Linked DNA regions of Struthio camelus. The protein of the gene in region 2 interacts with the protein of the main gene of each other region in a pairwise test. Links are inferred from orthologs where the notes say so. Each region holds a gene or a part of one and is shown on either strand. Other genes may lie near its edges.

What was found. The genes of interacting proteins can lie anywhere in the genome.
Region 1: the proteins of SAT1 (region 2) and TCF25 interact in binary tests that used the Homo sapiens proteins (3 or more experiments, as listed by UniProt). The two-hybrid records come from large-scale screens. The link is inferred for Struthio camelus from reciprocal best matches to the Homo sapiens genes SAT1 and TCF25.

The regions. Positions count from the first base shown.
Region 1 is NC_090951.1:1,801,101-1,810,378, reverse strand, and holds the start of TCF25 (ribosome quality control complex subunit TCF25), read left to right. Parts: upstream 1-4,901; 5' UTR 4,902-4,929; coding exon 4,930-5,109; intron 5,110-7,326; coding exon 7,327-7,494; intron 7,495-9,278. Other genes in the region: SPIRE2 (protein spire homolog 2), read left to right, coding at 1-69, 1,179-1,321, 1,759-1,893, 1,965-2,032, 2,444-2,471, 2,629-2,744, 3,729-3,924. UniProt on the Homo sapiens protein: Component of the ribosome quality control complex (RQC), a ribosome-associated complex that mediates ubiquitination and extraction of incompletely synthesized nascent chains for proteasomal degradation.
Region 2 is NC_090942.1:135,361,220-135,370,885, forward strand, and holds SAT1 (diamine acetyltransferase 1), read right to left. Parts: upstream 4,486-9,666; 5' UTR 4,223-4,485; coding exon 4,157-4,222; intron 3,818-4,156; coding exon 3,766-3,817; intron 3,681-3,765; coding exon 3,597-3,680; intron 2,395-3,596; coding exon 2,293-2,394; intron 2,219-2,292; coding exon 2,178-2,218; intron 1,923-2,177; coding exon 1,752-1,922; 3' UTR 1,406-1,751; downstream 1-1,405. UniProt on the Homo sapiens protein: Enzyme which catalyzes the acetylation of polyamines. Substrate specificity: norspermidine = spermidine >> spermine > N(1)-acetylspermine. This highly regulated enzyme allows a fine attenuation of the intracellular concentration of polyamines.

The sequences.
Region 1 (9,278 bases), on a different chromosome or scaffold from region 2:
AGCTGAGCGGTGGCCAGGATGCGCCCCAGGCGCCGGGGCCGCTGGAGCCTGAGCCCCGGCCCCGCTCAGGTACCCCGCGCGCCAGGCCGCACAGGGAGCGAGGATGTGTCCCCCCGGCGCCCCAGCCTGCTCACAGCATGGGGAGCAGCCCCCGACCCGGCGCGAGCCGGGGCTGAGCCCAGCTGGGACACGGAGCCCCGAACCCTGAGCTGGGACGTGGGGCTGAGCTGGGACCCAGTTTCCCGAGCTGGGACATGGGACATGATGCCCCGAGCTGGGATCTGGGACATGATGCTGTGAGCTGGGACCTGGGACGTGATGCCCCAAGCTGGGTCCTGGGAAATGATGCCCTGAGCTGGGATGTGGGACATGATGCCGTGAGCTGGGACGTGGGATGTGATGCCATGAGTTGGGATGTGGGACATGATGCCATGAGCTAGGGCATGGGATAAGGTGCCCCAAGCTGGGACTTGGGACCTGATGCCCCGAGCTGGGATCTGGGACATGATGCCCTGAGCTGGGATGTGGGATGTGATGCCATGAGCTAGGGCGTGGGATAAGGTGCCCCAAGCTGGGACGTGGGACATGATGCCGTGAGCTGGGATGTGGGATGTGATGCCATGAGTTGGGATGTGGGATGTGATGCCCTGAGCTGGGATGTGGCATGTGATGCCCTGAGCTGGGATGTGGGATGTGATGCCGTGAGCTAGGGCGTGGGATAAGGTGCCCCAAGCTGGGACCTGGGACATGATGCCCTGAGCTGGGATGTGGGACATGATGCCCTGAGCTGGGATGTGGGATGTGATGCCATGAGTTGGGATGTGGGATGTGATGCCCTGAGCTGGGATGTGGCATGTGATGCCCTGAGCTGGGATGTGGGATGTGAAGCCGTGAGCTAGGGCGTGGGATAAGGTGCCCCAAGCTGGGACCTGGGACATGATGCCGCGAGCTGGGACACGGTGCCCCGAGGCCCATGCCAAGACATGCAACCACCAGCCCCGTCCTGTGCCGCGCGCCCTCCCCACTGGGGCTGTCCCCGAGCTGCAGGGCTGTCCCCGAGCTGCGTGCCCTGCGCTCCCAGCCTCGCCGCAGCCCAGCTGTCCCCGCGGCGGCCGTGCTGCACCGCCAGCAGGCCCATGCCGGAGGGTCACGCTGCATGGCGTGTCCTTCCCCTGCAGGATCGGTGCCGGCCAGCTACCACCCAGTGCCGTATGGCACCGCGCCGCTGCCATCGCCCCACGGTGCCCTCAGCTGCGTGGAGGAGAGGCCAGAGGACAGCTCCGGCGCTGCCCCTGCCAGCGGCTCCAAGCACCTGTGGCTGGTGAGTGCTGCATGGGAGCAGGATGTGGCCACTGCACAGGGCGTCTCCCGGGGACACGCTGCCCTCGTGTGTCCCACGGATGCTCTGCCCACGTGTGTCCTGGGGATGCTCTGCCCACACGTGTCCTGGGGATGCTCTGCCCACACATGTCCTGGGGACGCTCTTCTGCCTGTCCCAGGGATTCTCTGCCCACGCGTGCCCCAGGGACACTCTTCTGCCTGTCCCAGGGATGCTCTGCCCACGCGTGCCCCAGGGACACTCTTCTGCCTGTCCCAGGGACACTCTTCTGCCTGTCCCAGGGACGCTCTGCCCACGCGTGCCCCAGGGACACTCTGCCCACACATGTCCTGGGGACATGCATGTCCAAGGAGCAGCTGGGCCGTAGCTGGCACCGGGCCATGCGGCAGGCCAGGCTCACGGCCCCTTTCTGCACGCAGGAGTTCAGCCACCCCGTGGAGAGCCTGGCCCTCACCGTGGAGGAAATGATCAACGTGCGCCGGGTGCTGGTCAAGGCCGAGATGGAGAAGTTCCTGCAGAGCAAGGAGCTGTACAACAGCCTGAAGAAAGGGAAGGTGGGAGCGGGGGAAGAGCCTGCGGTGCTGCAGGGCCCCGGCCACCTCTTACCCGGCCCCTCTCCCCGCAGGTCTGCTGCTGCTGCAGGGCCAAGTTCCCCCTGTTCTCCTGGCCCACGGCCTGCCTCTTCTGCAAGCGGTGAGCAGCCACCCTGTGCGCCACGTCGTGCTGCACTGTGCTACACCATGCCGTGCTGCACTGTGCCGTCCCGTGCCGCACCATGCTCTGCTGCACTGCACTTTGCCATGCAGCACTGTGCTGTGCTGCACGGTGCCATGCCATGCCGTGCCATGCTGCACCACGTTGTGCTGCACCGCGTTGTGCTACACCACACTGCTGCACCACGCTCTGCTGCACCGTGCCACGCCATGCTGTGCCGTGCCGCACCATGCAATGCTGCACGGTGCTGTGCCATGCCACAGCATACTGTGCTGCACAGTGCCATGCCATGCTGTGCCGTGCTGCTCCAAGCTGTGCGGCAGGGCTGGGAGGGGGCCTGCAGGGTGCCCGTGGGTGCCGCTGCTGACCAGCCTCTCTCTGTGCCCCCAGGTCTGTCTGCACCTCCTGCAGCCTCAAGGTAAGGGACGGCTCATGCCAGGGTGCGGGGGCTGCCGTGGGCCGCCCCAGGACGGAGGCGTCCTCCGGGGAGGGCTGCGCCGCTGGGCTGAGCCCACACGTCCTGGCCCTGGCACGACACAGCCCCCAGTGCTGACGCCCGCCCGCCTCCCCGGCAGATGAAGATGCCTTCCAAGAAGCTGGCTCACATCCCTGTCTACGCGCTGGGCTTCGAGAGCCTCCCGGGGCCGCTGGGCACCAAAGCCCCACCGCTGCGGCAGAGAGATACCTTCCAGTGAGTGCCGGGACCCACCGCCCACCCTAGCCCCCACCGCGCCATGCCGTGCTGCACCGCACTATGCCATGCCACGCTGTGCTGTGCTGCACTGTGCTGTGCCGTGCCATCCTGCACTGCACCGTGCTGTGCCATCCTGCACTGTGCTGTGCCGTGCCATCCTGCACTGCACCGTGCTGTGCCATCCTGCACTGCACCATGCCGTGCCATCCTGCATCGCACTGTGCTATCCTGCACTGCGCCGTGCCATGCTGCACCGCGCTATGCCATGCCATCCTGCATCACACCGTGCTATGCCATGCTGCACCTTGCTGTGCCATCCAGCAACATGCCATGCCGTGCTGCACTGCACCGCACCATGCTGTGCCATCCTGCACTGCGCTGTGCCATTCTGCCCTGTGCCATGCTGCCCCGTGCCATGCAATCCAGCACCGTGCCATGCCATGCTGTGCTGCCCCGCACCATGCCGTGCTGCACCGTGCCATGCCATGCTGCACTGCACCGCACCATGCTGTGCTGCACCGTGCCATGCCATGCTGCACTGCACCGCACCATGCTGTGCCATCCTGCACTGCGCTGTGCTGTGCTGCACCACACCGTGCCGCACTATGCCATGCCATCCGGCACTGTGCCATGCCATGCTGTGCTGCCTCGCACCATGCTGTGCCATCCTGCACTGCGCTGTGCCGTTCTGCCCCATGCCGTGCTGCACCATGCCATGCCATCCGGCACCGTGCCATGCCGTGCTGTGCTGCACCGCACCATGCTGTGCTGCACCATGCCGTACCATGTGGCAATGTGCCGTGCTGCACTGCACCATGCCGTGCCACCCGGCACCGTGCCATGCCGTGCTGCACTGCACCACACCGTGCCATCCAGCAACGTGCCATGGTGTGCTATCCGGCACCGCGTCGTGCCGTGCCGCACCATGCTGCGCCGCGCCGTGGCACGGGCCAGGGCTGACGGCGCGGCCGGTGCCCACAGCTCGCTGCCCGGCACCCGCTGGCGCCGCATCGAGGAGGAGTTCCCCCACATCTACGCCCAGGGCGCCGTGCTCCGCGACGTCTGCAGCGACTGCACCGGCTTCGTGGCCGACGTCATCCGCTCCAGCCGCCGCAGCGTGGCCGCGCTCAACGCCGCGCCGCCCCGCGCCCGCCGCGGCGCCTCCTGGCACCAGTGAGGGCTGGCGGCCGCCCCCCTGTACATATATACATAGGACACACAGACAGCCTCTATATTTATATATTTGGGGATGTGGCTCCGCGGCTCTCCGTAGCAGGCGCCGGGGGCTGCCGGACCTGGCGCGGTGCTGAGCCCGCGCCACCGGGACGCCTCGGTGCCTGCCGACCGGCCGGCCGCGTCGCCGCGGCCCCTCTGTACCCCCCGGCCCCCCCGCGAATAAATGGCTTTGGGCTGCCCGGGGGGTGATGCTGCGCGGGAGCGGGGCCGCGGGCCAGCGCAGGGGGCAACGGGGCCGTGGCGGTGGTGGGGGGTGAGGTGGGGGGCGATACCCTTACGCCATGCCCCCCCCGGGGTGATACCCCCCTGCTGCCCCCCCCAGGGTGACACCCTCACACCGTGCCTCCCCCAGGGTGGTACCCCCATGCTGCCCCCCCCCGGGCGACACCCTCACACCGTGCCTCCCCCAGGGTGATACCCCCCTGCCCCCCCCCCGGGCGACACCCTCACACCGTGCCTCCCCCAGGGTGGTACCCCCATGCTGCCCCCCCCCCCCGGCCGACACCCTCACACCGTGCCTCCCCCAGGGTGATACTCCCATGCTGCCCCCCCCGGGGTGATACCCCCAGGCCATGCCCCCCCCTCGGGCGATACCCCCATGCTGCCCCCCCAGGGCGATACCCTCACACCGTGCCCCCCCCCAGGGTGATACCCCACGCTGCCCTCCCCCAGGGCGATACCCCCCAGGCCTTGGCCTCTCCGTGGCATCCCCCCGGGCCATGTTTCCCCAGGCCGTGTTTCCCCCGGACGTTCCGTCCCCGGGCCGTGCCCCCCCTCGAGACAGATTTCGCGCTGCGGCGGCTGGGGGAGGCGCGAGGCTGATGGCGGGCCGCCGCACTGCGCCTGCGCGCGCCGCGGGGCGGGGCCGGGGCCGGGGCCGGGGGGCGCAGGCGCGGGGCGGGGCGGACGCGCAGGCGCGCGCAGGCGCAGTGCGGCGCGCAGCTCCATGTCGCGGCGGGCCCTGCGGCGGCTGCGGGGCGAGCAGCGGGGCCAGGAGGAGCCGGGCCTGGGTCAGCTGGGCCTGGCCTCCGGCCCCGGCCGCTGCCAGGAGCCGCCGGGCGATGCCGCTGCCCCCGGCCGCTGCCGGGGACCGGCTCGGCCCGGCGTCAGCAACCGCTTCGAGCTGGTGAGGGGCGGCGGAGGCGGCGGCGGGGAGTGGGGGTGACAGTGACGGAGTGGCTTCTGTGAGGGGGTGACTGGGGAAGGGGCGACTTCTGTGAGGGGGTGAGTGGGGTGACAGTGACGGGGTGGCTTCTGTGAGGGGGTGACTGGGGAAGGGGCGACTTCTGTGAGGGGGTGAGTGGGGTGACAGTGATGGAGTGGCTTCTGTGAGGGGGTGACTTCTGTGAGGGGGTGAGTGGGGTGACAGTGACGGAGTGGCTTCTGTGAGGGGGTGACTGGGGAGGGGGTGGGGAAGGGGTGACTTCTGTGAGGGGGTGAGTGGGGTGACAGTGGCGGGGTGGCTTCTGTGAGGGGGTGACTGGGGAGGGGTGGGGAAGGGGTGACTTCTGTGAGGGGGTGAGTGGGGTGACAGTGGCGGGGTGGCTTCTGTGAGGGGGTGACTGGGGAGGGGTGGGGAAGGGGTGACTTCTGAGGGGGTGAGTGGGGTGACAGTGGCGGGGAGGGGGTGATGGGGTGACTTCTATGAGGGGGTGGCTGTGAAGGAGTATCTGGGGGAGGGGGTGATGGGGTGACTTCTATGAGGGGTGGCTGTGAGGGGAGTATTTGGAGGAGAGTGTGACTGGGGTGACAGTGACTGGGGGGGTGAGGGGGTGGCTGTGAGGGGAGTATCTGGGGAGGGGGTGACTGGGATGGCAGTGATGAGGTAGCAGTGGCTGTAAGGGGGTGAATGGGGGAGGAGTGACTGGGGTGACTGTGAAGGGGGTGACTGGGAGGGGGCCACTAGGGTGACAGTGACTGGAAGGAGATGACTGAGGGAGGAGTGACTGTGAGGGGGTGACTGGGGGGGCAGTGATGGGATAACAGTGACTGGGAAGGGTGACAGTGGTGGTGGGGCAGTGGCTGGGTGGGAATGAGCAAGGTGACAGTTCCTGAGAGGGGGTCTGGGGAGGGGACCAAAGCGGGATGGTCACTGGGAGGGGGTTGAGGAGAGGGAGTGACTGGGGGCAGGTCCTGGGAGGTGTGGAGTGGGGAGCGATGGGGGTGGTGGTGGCTGGGTGGCCCCTGGAGGGGAGAGGGTCATGGGGGACAATGACTAGAGTGTCTTGGGGGAGAACTGGAGGTGACTTGGGGAGCTGGAAGAGGAGGGTCCTGGGGGGTGGCGGTGAGTTGAGGGGTGGGGAGTGGCCTGAGGGGGCAGCAACTGGGGCTGAGCTGGGAGCGCGGACTGAAAGGACTCAGATGGACTGGGGGGAAGTGGTGGGGGAATCCTGGGGAGGTTTAGGGGAGAAAGTGGGGTGCACTGAGAAGCAGTCTGAGGGATGTGCTGCATGTGGGGTGGGGGTGGCCTGGGGACAGAGTGGGCTGGGGCTGAGGGAGGTGGCAATGGCCTGGCTGGAGGTGAGAGGAATCAGCAGGGGGGCAGCGGAAGAGTCAGGGGGATGGAGGGAAGGGTGTGAGGGGCAGCAGTGTTTAGGAGCAGGGGAGGGGGCGCTGAGCAGTACAAGCTGGGGTGGGCATGGGGAGCAGGGTTGCGAGCGACTGTACAAGAGGGACTACACTGCAGGTGTAGAGCATTAGACGGATGTGGTGGGGAGAGGTGGGATGGGCAGGTGTTGTCGGAGCTGGGTCTGAGTATCGGGGCACGATGCTGTTTTTGGCAGTGTTTCTGCCACCTTTCCACTCCTGCAAGATGCTAGAGCTGAAGGTCTGGGGTCACGTGGGCCCTGATGGCACCGTTGGTCCTCGGTGGGGCAGTCTAGTCCCTCCACTCTTGGCCAGCCCCAGTGCTTCTCTTGGGCAGTGGTTACCTCTCCTTCCCCAGGGCCTGGCTGTGTGAGTGTGGCCAAAGCTGGTTTTTGACTCCTCCCAAAGACGAGCAGAGTCCAGACAGGGCCATGTTTTTCTGCCGCTGCGCTGCGTAGTGGACGCTTTGTTGTGGCCCTGTGCTCCCTTCTGATAAGTCAGTGGATGTTAGGCCATTCCAGGTGCCCACTAGGCAACACTCTTTAAATGAGCCATTGTGCCCCATTCAGCTGCTGGAGAAGATGACTGGGGAAGCTGAGCCCTGCTCTGCTTCTGTCACGCTTGTGGATTTCTCCTCTTTCACTTCCAGGTGTGAGCAGAGCAGATTCCTATGAAATTCTGTCCTGCTGGAAGCAGGAGAGGGCAGAAGCTAGCTACGTGCCTGCTGTTTCTGCATCTTATTCCTCTGTTTGCACAGATTACCAATGAAGAATTGGAGGATGACCCATCATTCAAAGAGGAGCGAGTAGATGCCAGGCTCAAAGAGCAAGATGTAGCAGAAGGGAATGGTGGAGTGCCTGTAACTAAAGAGACAGAAGGTGATGGGCAGAGAGATGGGGAAGATGCAGATCAGCAGGACCAAACGGTAAATAAACTGCAGATATTTAGTAATGATGACTGTAGCCACACAAGGTATGGAAAGAGGGCTGCCACATTTATTTTCCTGCTTCTGTTTGAGCTGAGCGGCTTTGTGTTAGTGACAGAGAAGTGTTTCTTATTACTTGTAGGTTTTGTCACAGGCTGAGAATGTGAGCATCAGGGGCAGGGACACAAGCATGGAGCTTAAAGAAATAATAAGTAGATGCATGTTAATGTTTCTTCAGAAGTGCAGGCTGTCCATCTTCCCCAGTTAATGCCCCAGTTTGTTAGCTGGGGGTACTGACCTTACACACTAATTGAAGTGTGCTATCCCCAAATTGCTGCACAATCTGACCAGGCTCTCCTGCAGGCTCTAGGCCTGGAGCAGATTCAACACTACTTGGCTGAGGGTTGTGTTAGGAAGCCCATAGAATATGCAGGTGTTTCTGCCTTGCATCCAGGGAGATATTTTACAGTTGCAAAGGGAAAGTTCCTAGGACGTCTCCCTGAGTAAGACCTTGTGCTATTCTTGCTGCCCATGTGCTCTCATGAGCACTGAGGTTATGCAAAGCATATGAGGAGAAAAGCACCCCTGGGATTCTGAAACGGAGATTGCTTCTCTGCTTCCTTCGTTGCACAACTACTTTAGCTCTACATTGTGGACAGGGCTGGGCTGTTGGATTAATCTTCAGTGAAGCGTTTATTTTGGAGAGAATGACACGAAGAACCCAAACAATGTAAATTAAGCATCGAACTTCTTTCTTACAGTATTTTGTTGTCATTTTCTGCTAAGAGCCCTTCTTGTAGTCTATCTCAGCACAAAGTACCTGCTGGTAGAACTATTGTAAGAAGCACATAAGGAAAGGGGCTTTTTGAGTAACAATTCAACATTGGAAGCCTGCCCCGTGTCCTGTGGGGGGAATGAAAGGGGATTAGCCCCTTGGCCTCTTCTGTTGGGACTCCACAGCTGGTGTGTGTGCCTGTGTGTTCTGGATGCCTGGCAGTGTGGCCAGAGGAGCAAAGACCAGAGCCTGTGCGCGGTTTAGCTGGGCTGGTGCACTCAACTGGTCCAGTGGATTGGGAACAGTTTGAATGCAGAACATGAGCTCTGCTGATCCATCTCCACGTGAGCAGTGAGGCATCGGCTCCAGGGTGGCCCTGGCCCGGGCTGTTTGCTGCGTAAAAACTTCTGAGTACACCTGCTTTTTCATTTAGGGTTTCCTGGATAGAAATGTGAGAGCCCTCAGCATGTGTCTCCCTGTCACGTGACAGAGCTGAATTGGGGCTGCATATGCCCCTGGTTCTGAAAACAGCTCAGGAGCTTTAGAGCCGTTCTTGTAATGCTGTTACTTCTTGGGTATATTACCTCTGTAGAGCTGACAATCCTGGAAATGTGTGTTTTAGCTCTGTATGCCTTGGAGAAGGGCTGGTACAGATAACAGCATGGCTGTCGGGTTGGAGAATGGTATGCAGTGTTGTGAGCTGAAATAGTTACATCTGTAGTGAGAGGAGCCAGTATTGTGTGATGTTTTCAGGCAGCTGTAGGTTTCTGTGGTGATCAGAGAGACTGCTGAAACTGTGTTGCTCACTGGAAAGAAAGAAATCTCTTTATGCTCCGGAGTAGAGGAAAGATGAAACATTTTAGATACGTCGTATTTGGAAGAACTGTTTCTTCTCTGACTCTGTAGTATTAGACATACATGAAAGGCTTTTGAGATTTAACCCTTACATTTGTGAATTTTTGGTGCTTTCCTCTGTATTTTTCCTTGTGTCTTGATTTCTGCTTGCTGG
Region 2 (9,666 bases):
TGTCTGGAAATGACTCCTATGCCGAATCTGATCTGTGAGACTAGGGTAAATTTTGTGACAGGTTCTAGGTCCAATCCAGATTATGTTTGCCCAATGTAGATGTATGCCGCCTCCTGCTTTCTTCCAGGACTTCCTGTATGTCTCGCTGCATTTCTCATTTCTTCAGCAACAGCTGACAGCCATATCACACACACAAGCTGAGCAGGCACACTGCTGCCCCTTTACTTAGTTTAAAAAAAAAAAAAAAAAACAAAACCTCTCAGAATACACTTTTATAATTTCACCCTGCACAGCCTACTCTGGAAATAAGGCAGAGGGGGTTGCCTTGTTCTTAAAATTTACATTAGGGTTATCTGTGGTTAAAACAGTCGGTGCCCTCTACTCTACAGGATGAGGAGACATCCTCTAGAGGATGCAAGATTCATGTAGCAATGCAATGCAGTTTAAAAGCCCATTTCATTTAAAGCAGTGCATGTTACAAGGCAGGTAAGCCTCTTCCTTTTCAAGTGTAAGGCAGTGCTGGCTAAAAGAAGCCTTTCACTTCAGGAGTAACTACAGCATGAGGATAACAATGTACAAATTGAATACATCCACTTGGCACCACAACTTAAGACAGTATTTTAAAGCTAAGTTAGAAAATGTACACTTGCTTTTCAAGCTCATGAAAAAGTTGGTGAGTAGCATTGTTCTTGCTTGCTGCTGTACAAAGCTTTAAATGCACAGGACTTAAGTTTTACATTTACATAGCACTACTTTCCAGGCATCTCGCCACTGCTGCCTAATTCACAGCCCTGAAGCACATGCCAAAGCTCTGTACAGTATCTGAAATGATGTATTTAAACCTACAACTTCCAGGGGCATTTAAATTGGATCTTTAAACATTCATTTTTATGAACTAGAAAAAAATCCCTTTCTCAGTCTTGAGGTTTTGACTATTTTTCATCTTTTAGACTTAAAAGTCTATCTGGATATGTCAGTCCCTGCCAAGATATCCTCCCCCCCCCCCCTTTTAAGCTTACACCTCCATATTGAGGTGTTCTACAGTTAAGTAAGCCTTGAGAAAGTAACAGTAGCTTTTTCCCCTGGGGCTATCTTCTACTCCCAACCAAGAACCAAATTTAGTTGTAAGAGCACCTAATTTCCCTCACTAGACAGAATGCTCTGCACAATGCGTAAAGCCGTGAGTGATCTCTAAACCCCACTGAGTGCTCTCCACTCCAGTACAGGTGTGGCTAGAGCCTCCCCATTAGCACCTGCAGACATCACCTTTTATCACTCAGAGACTGGGATAAATAGCACTTCACTTTATTAGTCACCTGGGCATATTTTTCAAAAGAGACTTCCATTACCTTAAATAGCAACTCTCTGCAGACTATGTGAGAATTAAAGTCAAAAACTATTGCCATGAAGTGAAAACACTTTATTTTTATAAAAGGAAATACTTAAAACAAACCCTACCAGTGTGTACATTGTACACATTTGAATGACACTTACAAGAATGAAGTTTTCATATACATTTCAACGATAACAAGCCCACACTGGTTAAGGATGTACACAAGCACAAATTCAACTTCACAGATGCCTCAACTCCGGATCACAGTACCAATTACTCTAACCACACTTGCAAAGCATTTTCATTATTAGTATCCATGCTACTTTAATCCACTACAAACTGTACACAGAAAGCAAGAAGGAGTTTATTCATAGAGAGTATATATTCATAGAAAGGGTTTATTTGCTGGAATCATCTCTCACTCTTCTGTTGCCATCTTCAAGAGATATTCTTTGTCAATTTTGAAGAGCCTCCACCCCTCCTCAGTGGACAGATCAGAGGCCCCCCTTCTCTTGTAGAACCTGATGGAAGGCTCGTTCCACTCTGCAACGAGGAAGTGCATACTGCTGCAGCGGCACTTGACAGCAACCTGCAAGAGTGTGCAGCAGTACAAATTTAGAGCAAGTCTTCACTAAACCTAGTAGAAACTGGTGAAAGCACTCAGCAACTAACTGCATGTTGTCAAAGTTTTTAAAGCTCTGTCTAGCATCCTGTCACCTCCTTCAATAGGTCAGCTATGTTAATTCTGAGTACTGTTTAAGGGGAAACTCTCATGCAGTTAGAACAGCACTGCTTTGTCACGTGTCCTCAGTTCTGCTTTTTTAGACTTATCGCTTTGACATACCTGACTCAAGTTCTTCAGAATTTCTGACCCAATGCCAAGCCCTAACAAGGCAAAGAAAAAAGTTTCAGTTTTAGAGAAGCCCCTGTAACTCCTCATCTAGTGCCATAAAACCTACCTCTGTATTCAGCCATCACATAAAAATCTTCAAGATACAGCAGTTTTCCAATCCACGGATCATAAGTGAAATAGTACATGGCAAAACCCACGATGCTGTGTTCTGAAACAAAGGGTGCAACTTTAGCTAGTCTGAATTTAAAAGGCAACATATTAATTCAAGCCTTACATGCATGTTTAAATATAGTCCCTCTTTCTGTAACATGCAGCTGTTTGTTATCAGGTTAGAATTACAATTGAAGTTTGCAAATAAGCACACAACTGAAAATGAGTTCTGACAAAATTTTATTGACTTAATACAGCAAAGATTGCCCTCTTCATACCCTGAAAGCCTCAAGAGCAATGTTACAGTAAATACTGAACACTTAAGACTTTTTTCTACAAATACACACCCTACCAATTTATTACTATTTCCGTTGTGGAATACAAGTCAAATTTTACACGGCAGTTCAGAATCTAGATTGCCCCAACTCTGCTTCCTTAGCGACCAGAACAGACTAACAAACTCTAGAGAGCACTGATCTTACAATTTGTATTCCTCAACAATTACTGTGCGAGAAAGGCATGCTTGCTGACCACATTTACAGCGGCATTTCTAACACTTTAAACTTAGGCTTGGCACTGATAGCATCATGCCCTTCTCTATCTCCGGCACCAGAAAATTTACCTACTGTAAGTAAGGAAAGCTGCTGCTTCAAATGTAATTCTGTGGCTCAACACAGAAGAGAAACCAACTCTTCCAACAGCAGCACTCTTGGTTCTAACTCTTGAGAATTAAAACCCTATCTGCTCTAATGCTCTACACATACTGTAGGAGAAGCGTGCACACAAATTTCTGATCTACCGTGTTTTTTGGTAAAGGTTTGGGAATAACACTTGTCCCTGTAGACCTTACCTCATATTATGATCATCTACTTTATTGTGTAACGGATCTTTTAGTTACCTCCCCGCCCATCCATGTACACAGAAGGGCCATGTACATGGCGAAGCTAGAGACTGTAACCTGAAGATTGGGGACAAATTGAAGAAAAAATGTGATTCAACAGAATTACATAAGGTAAGTTAGGGTCAAACAAAAAAAGCCATTTAATTAACTGGAATTAAAGTACATTATATTATACCTGATCTTCCCACATCTCCAGGATTAGTGACTACTTCAGAGAGCATCACTGTATGTTACTCCATTTTTAACAGTTAACCTAGTCCTCCTGCCCCAGTTCATTGGTGGAACCTTACGTACAATCAACAACATTCAGACATCTCTTGTGTATTGAGCATCAAAACACAAGCGGCAGGAAGTCTCACCTTCAGGCGACCACTGTTCTTTCGGCACTTCTGCAACAAGACAGTGGTAAAAAGGATGCTCGCCAAAACCATCCTCAAGCAGCTCTAGAAAAGGAGAAGAAAATTGTCACCTAAGCCACAGGTCTTGCCACTAGGCTATCAACCAGGTCAGCAGCTGCTGCTTGTATACCTTTCTCCGTCAACACCACTTGATCCTCCATGTCCTCGTATTTCGCTAGTTCCTGGAAGAGAAGATACATGTAAGCGGGCTGTCCCCGCAGGTCTCCCCAGCCGCCTCCTCATTGGCCGCTCGCAGCCTTGCGCAAGAGCTTGTTTTTGCCCAGAGAGAAGGGCAGCCGTGACATTCCCCCCCGCCCCCGCCCGCGCCGCCCCGAGGCGGGTCGCTCCCCCACCCCCACCCCCCGCGGGGCGCTGACGAGACCCCCCGCCCGCCCCTCCCCCCAGCGCGGCGACGCCGCCAGGGAACGGCCGGTCTCGCGCGCTGTCCGAACGACGCCCCCAACCGCCGCTTCCCCTTCTCTCTCCTCCCCCCGCCCCCGGGCCCCCGGCCCGCCGCGCACCTTGATCAGTCGCAGCAGGTCGGGGCAGTCCTCAGGTCGCGCGGCGCGGATACGGAACGAGGCCATTTTCGACGGCGCTTCCCCCTGCGACCCCCTCGGCTGACGAGTCCCCGATGTGTGAACAGGAGGAGCAACTGCTTCTTCATTCGTGTCCCGGGCGCGGCGGCCACCTGCGGTCAGTCAGGCTGCGAGCATGTCCCGGCGGCGGCGGCGGCGCTGTGCAGGCGGGCAACTCCCGTCCCTCCACCGCTCTGACCCCGACCCGAAACTGTGTGCCGAAGCCCCCGCCGCGCTCCTTATTTATAGATACCCTCGCCCCGCCTCTCCCCATACGCAAGCCAATGGGAGCGCCCGTAGTGCTCGCCCTCAGCCAATGACAGCGCCCCTCCGCCGAGGCTTACTTCACCCTGCCAGCAACAGCTGGTGCGGGGCTGTCTCGTGACTCCCGGCTCCCCCCCCCCCCCGCACGCGGTGGCGCCCCCTAGCGGAGCCGGGCGGCGCTGCAGGACGCCCCCGCCGCAGCCAGCCCGCGCCTCGGGGGCCGCCGCGCCGTCCGCACCCGCGGACCTCGCCGCGCCCCCAAACCCCGCTCCGCGGCCTGCGGGCCTCCGCCGCAGCGGCCCTCGGGGCTGCGCCTGGCAGGGAGCCCTCCGGGGTCCCCCTCGGGCGGTGTGCCTGCGGCTAGGGGATCGCCTCGTGCGGCGAGGAGCGCCTCGACGCCGCCATCTTAGCTGCGGTGGCGGCCAGCTAGGTATTCGGTGGTGACTTGAAAGCAAGTTATCTTCCCTGCCGTGTGAGGGGGAGGGGGAAGCCTTTGTACCTGCTTGAAACGTCCAGGAGTGCCACAGCGATCCCTATGAGCCCTCGCACAGATAGTTCTGGTCCTCTGCCTCCTCCACGCGCGCGCCTTGGTCACAAGAAGAGACTCTCCAAAGGTTAGTAACCGGAATCCCGTACACTACCGACAAATACCCAAGCTGACCCACGCAGCAACACGTCAACCGTGCTGGTAAGTTCAATATACGTGCTCTTAAACAACCCTGGGCTCATCACAGAGGAACACAGAGCTCTCCAGGTAGGCAGTCTCCCTGACACAAGGAGCTAAAACGTATTCCTTAATTAAAAGGAAAAAGAAAGTTAAAGTCTAGTATAAAAGGCGCCCCCCTGGGAAAAGAGATCTAACTCTAAAAGATGGAAGAACACTGACTTAAAATGTTCCTGTCACAGTACTGTTTGCCCCAACTGTTATGTTTAGCTTTGAATGAAAGACACTAGTGTACGTTACGTATTAATTGTGGTCATTTCTTACTATATAGCAGGATTTGCAAGTATTTGTTTATATGGAAAATACGGTTCAAAATGTGAAAAAAAGTTACACTTTGGGCTTGGAACGCTTTCCAATCTGATGGGAAAACCGTCCCCAAGCATGATAACTGACCTGGCTTACTAAACTTGCTGGGGAAGAAAGAGTAGTACTCAAGAGATACACAAAGGACAGTAGCATCTTCAAAGCAGGAGGGGTCTGCCCGTAGTCTGCTATTGGGTAAGCTCACATTCCTTCTAGAAGGAGGTATGAATGTCTTTGTGTACAGAGGTGCAATGAAGAAATCTGTCTGAATGATTAGGGGTTTAGGGTATAAAAGAAAGGAATAATTATCCCTAACCTCATTCTTCTCTAAGCCTAACCTATAGGATGTAGATGTAGACAGCAGAATGAGAACCAGATCCTCAACTAGATAATTATGAATGTCTGTAGGCCTATCAGCTAGGCCACCCAGGTAAGAAGTATAGAAATAACAATTTGGTATGTGCATGGTTTTCTTTTCGCTTCTGATGACCCATAAACTTTGCAACTATCATGACCATTCTTAGATACTGTAAAGGAGCTCTTTATTTTACGTTCGGCTTAATCTGACTTGCTTTCAAAGTGATTTGGGGTTTGAGAAAACACCAAGTCATGCTACTGTTGTAACAGTCCTTAAAACCTGGATTCCCAAACGCTCTCACAACGCTCAAACCCTATTTTCCAGTGTATCAAATGACTTACAAGGTTCACCTTCATTTAGACGTTTGGGCCAGCATGGAATGTGTTATTACAGGAGAACTTACAAGGAAGTGTATATTCTGGTGGCCAGCGTTAGCCAGGAAAATCCTTTGGCTCACAGTGGAATGTACTTCTATTCCTAGAAGAGTAGTTTTGGATGTATTCAGACACCAACTCAGGTGTCGCCAGCTCACTCTGTCACCCTCTGTTGGGGCAAAAATGACACCTGGAGATGCCCAAGGAACAGCAGCATTTCCAAAACAAAAGTGACAGCCAATGCCTACTAGGAGAAAAGATTTGTTTCAGAAGGAGTTACAGATGTGGAAATCCTTCAGGACAGGGGTTCTGGCAGGGAGACTGAATTTGAATAACTTCCCAAAGAAGAGTTCCAACCTAACTGCAAGGGATTTCATGAATATACTTTTTTTTTTTTTTTTTTTTGGTTAACTGCCAGGAAGAACCTGAACTGGGATCAGAAACAGGAAATACTTTTCTGGAAAGACTTAGTGTGTCTGTTGTGTTGACTCTTTTGTTTTTTGTCCGTTTGACAATGAGGAAGTCATACTATCAGAGAACCTAATGTTGAGTAAGAGCAGAAAGTACCTGATTCCTTTCGTTCTCAAGTTAGAAAAGTCATATGATGTTAGAAGTTGAAGTTTCAGCAGAAGACATTTTCCATCTCAAGTGTTTGTGAGAGTCCTGCTTCAACTTGCTCAGAAATATGCTGATACTGTGTTACCCCAGTGAATACAATTCATTTGAATTAGCCTTCAAATTCACAAAGGAGAAGAAAAAAAAAATTAAAAAAAATCCTGAAATATCAAAAATAGTTTCATGGACCCATATGAAATACAGAGAAGAAAAAAGAACAAAAAGGAAATGAAAAATGATGTAATTAAGAGAGCTAGATCTCAGAACCTATGCTACAATTATTGGTTATTTGCAACTATATGTACTTTTTTCAGTGTAATGGTAAGACAGTTTTACAAAGTGGTTCTAAAGAACTCCATTTTGAGAATTAATCATATTGATGGGTCTTCTGTTTCTCTCAGCTCTGCTGAGTTTTGAGAATCTTTCCTGTAATCCTGACCAAGCTGACATCAGTGATGGAATTTCTAACGACTTCCATAGGGTTAGGATTTTAGGCTTAAGTGGTCAGCCTATTTATTTACGTTTTGCCTAGAGGGAATGAGAAGAGGTAAATGTTCTGACAAGGATCACGTTATTTTCAAATTATACAATTATGCTGAAAAGTGGGTAGTAAAGGCATTTAAAGTAAATCAATTGTTGAAATAACCTGTTATAATGGCATATGCACTAAACTGGATTAGGTTAGTTCTTGCTTCTCATGTTACACCCAACAGCTTCTTCTGTGCAGAACCTGCTCCGTATGAATATTTCCACCAAAAGGGATGACACTTCTCTGTTTGAGAGGTAGAATGATTAGGATTATCTGAAAAGATGGTACATGTTTTCCTCCCATTCTCATTTTATCGCCTCACTAAACCTTGCTTGTAAGTGAGGAGCCAGAAAAATGTTATACAAAACAAAAAAAAGAAAGCAGCACTTAAAGTGTTGCAGCAGGAACTGCTTTTAATAAAAGCATACAGAACAGTTTGTATCTTAAGGCATATTTTCTCCACATCCCTCCAGAGATAGAGAGGTACTGTCTGGTCTTGAGCAACAGGCTATAGTCATGCTAGTTCCCCAAGAACCTTTCATAGGGATGCAGCTGAACAACCGATTCAGAGAACTTTGGGCCTCAGTTGGATACTTGCACTGATGACTCTTTCTATTTGCTTCTAAATTTCTGGATTTCATCTTCTTTCAGAGACTGGAGGAAAAGGCTCAAAGTGGGGACCAGCTTGCTTTCTTCAGTGTTCAATTAATCAAGCTCCTCTTTACTTCTGGTATTTCAATTTTTGACTTCCTCCTTCGCTAAGAAGATTCCTTGAATTCCTGTATGAATGCCTCTCTTATGCCTCAAAAGTTCTCTGTTTATAATAAATAAAAGAAGGAAGGATAGGGACTTTTTATTCCACATTAAAATGTGGAATGTAATTTTCCACATAATATTCCACATTAAAATGTGGAATACTCAAAAATGTTAATCATTTTTGAGTATAGTATTAAATGGATCTCAAACATTTCAATCCAAATCCAGATCTCATCTCAAATCTTTGGAGCAAAATACAGAAAATACACATTAAGTTAACATTCAGTGTTGACCTGTTAATTTTTCCAGACACCACTACTCTTTGGACAGCATTCAGGATTTTCTCTGCATTTTCAACTGAATAGTTATTGTCTAATACTCAGAACTAGCTGTGATATTTATGAGCTCCCAGTTGCTGCCAGATTTTTTTTCAAGCAACTTACAATAACAGTTTTTATCAACACTGAGCTGCACATAAAAAAAATATATTTCTATAAAAAAGTAAATAAACATTGCAGTAGCACTTCAGAATCTGGGGCAAATGCAAAATTAACAGTTTCACATAATAAAACTATATATTTCCATATACTGGAAATAAAGGCCCAACCTTCTGCATTATTACATTTGAAGACATATTTTAGGCCACTGCAATCCTATTCCTGTAAGCTGATATGCCTTGACAGGCATTTGCAATTATGCAATTTGATGAATTTGGGATTTAGACATCTAATTGTCTGATTGCACCCACAAATTATCAACATCCTGCCTGCAAATAAGGGTTATAAAAACAGTAGAAACAATTTTGGAAAACAATCAAAATGGGCCTTAGTTTTATAGCCTTCAGTTTTGGATACGGTAGATGTGCCTTCGATTCTGATCTCGTGACTTACTTAAATTGGCGTTCTTGGGCTCAATTTCTCAGACTTTAAAAAGAAACCTGAGGAATATGAATTTTCCTTTCAAACAAGCGGGGATTCCCAGGAGGAACAGGTGTTCTTTTTATACATCACTATCACAGTTTTTATCTTTTGTCACAGACTTTGCTCTGTCCTCAGGTGATTCTTTATGGTATTTTGGTTTCTGATTCTTCAGCACATGGCCACCATCCATACCAGATTTCCATTTTTTTCTACAACTAGATGAGCTAGAAGCTTTCAAATAGCTCTTTCAACTTTTTTCTCTGCAGATACATGGAGCTAGTACGGCAAGTAATAAGAGTCACATGATTGTGTATGGGGTCACACGTACAAGGGCTGTCGCTGGGGATGGGACTTGGGATTACAGTTGTTTTAAGGATGTGAAGCAGCGAAGAGGAACTTTCCCTAAGATACAGCACAGTCGTCTCCTCCTCCCCCCTGACTCCTGCGCAACCCAGGATCATGCACCAGCATCAGCTGTGGCAGTTTATGCAGACATGAAGTAGGGGAGAAGTACTCATACCACATACACGACAGAAAAAAAGCGCTGGTAGCAAGAGTCGGTTCTGAGTGGGTTTTGCTGAATTTACGAGACATTCATTCATTCTCTTTT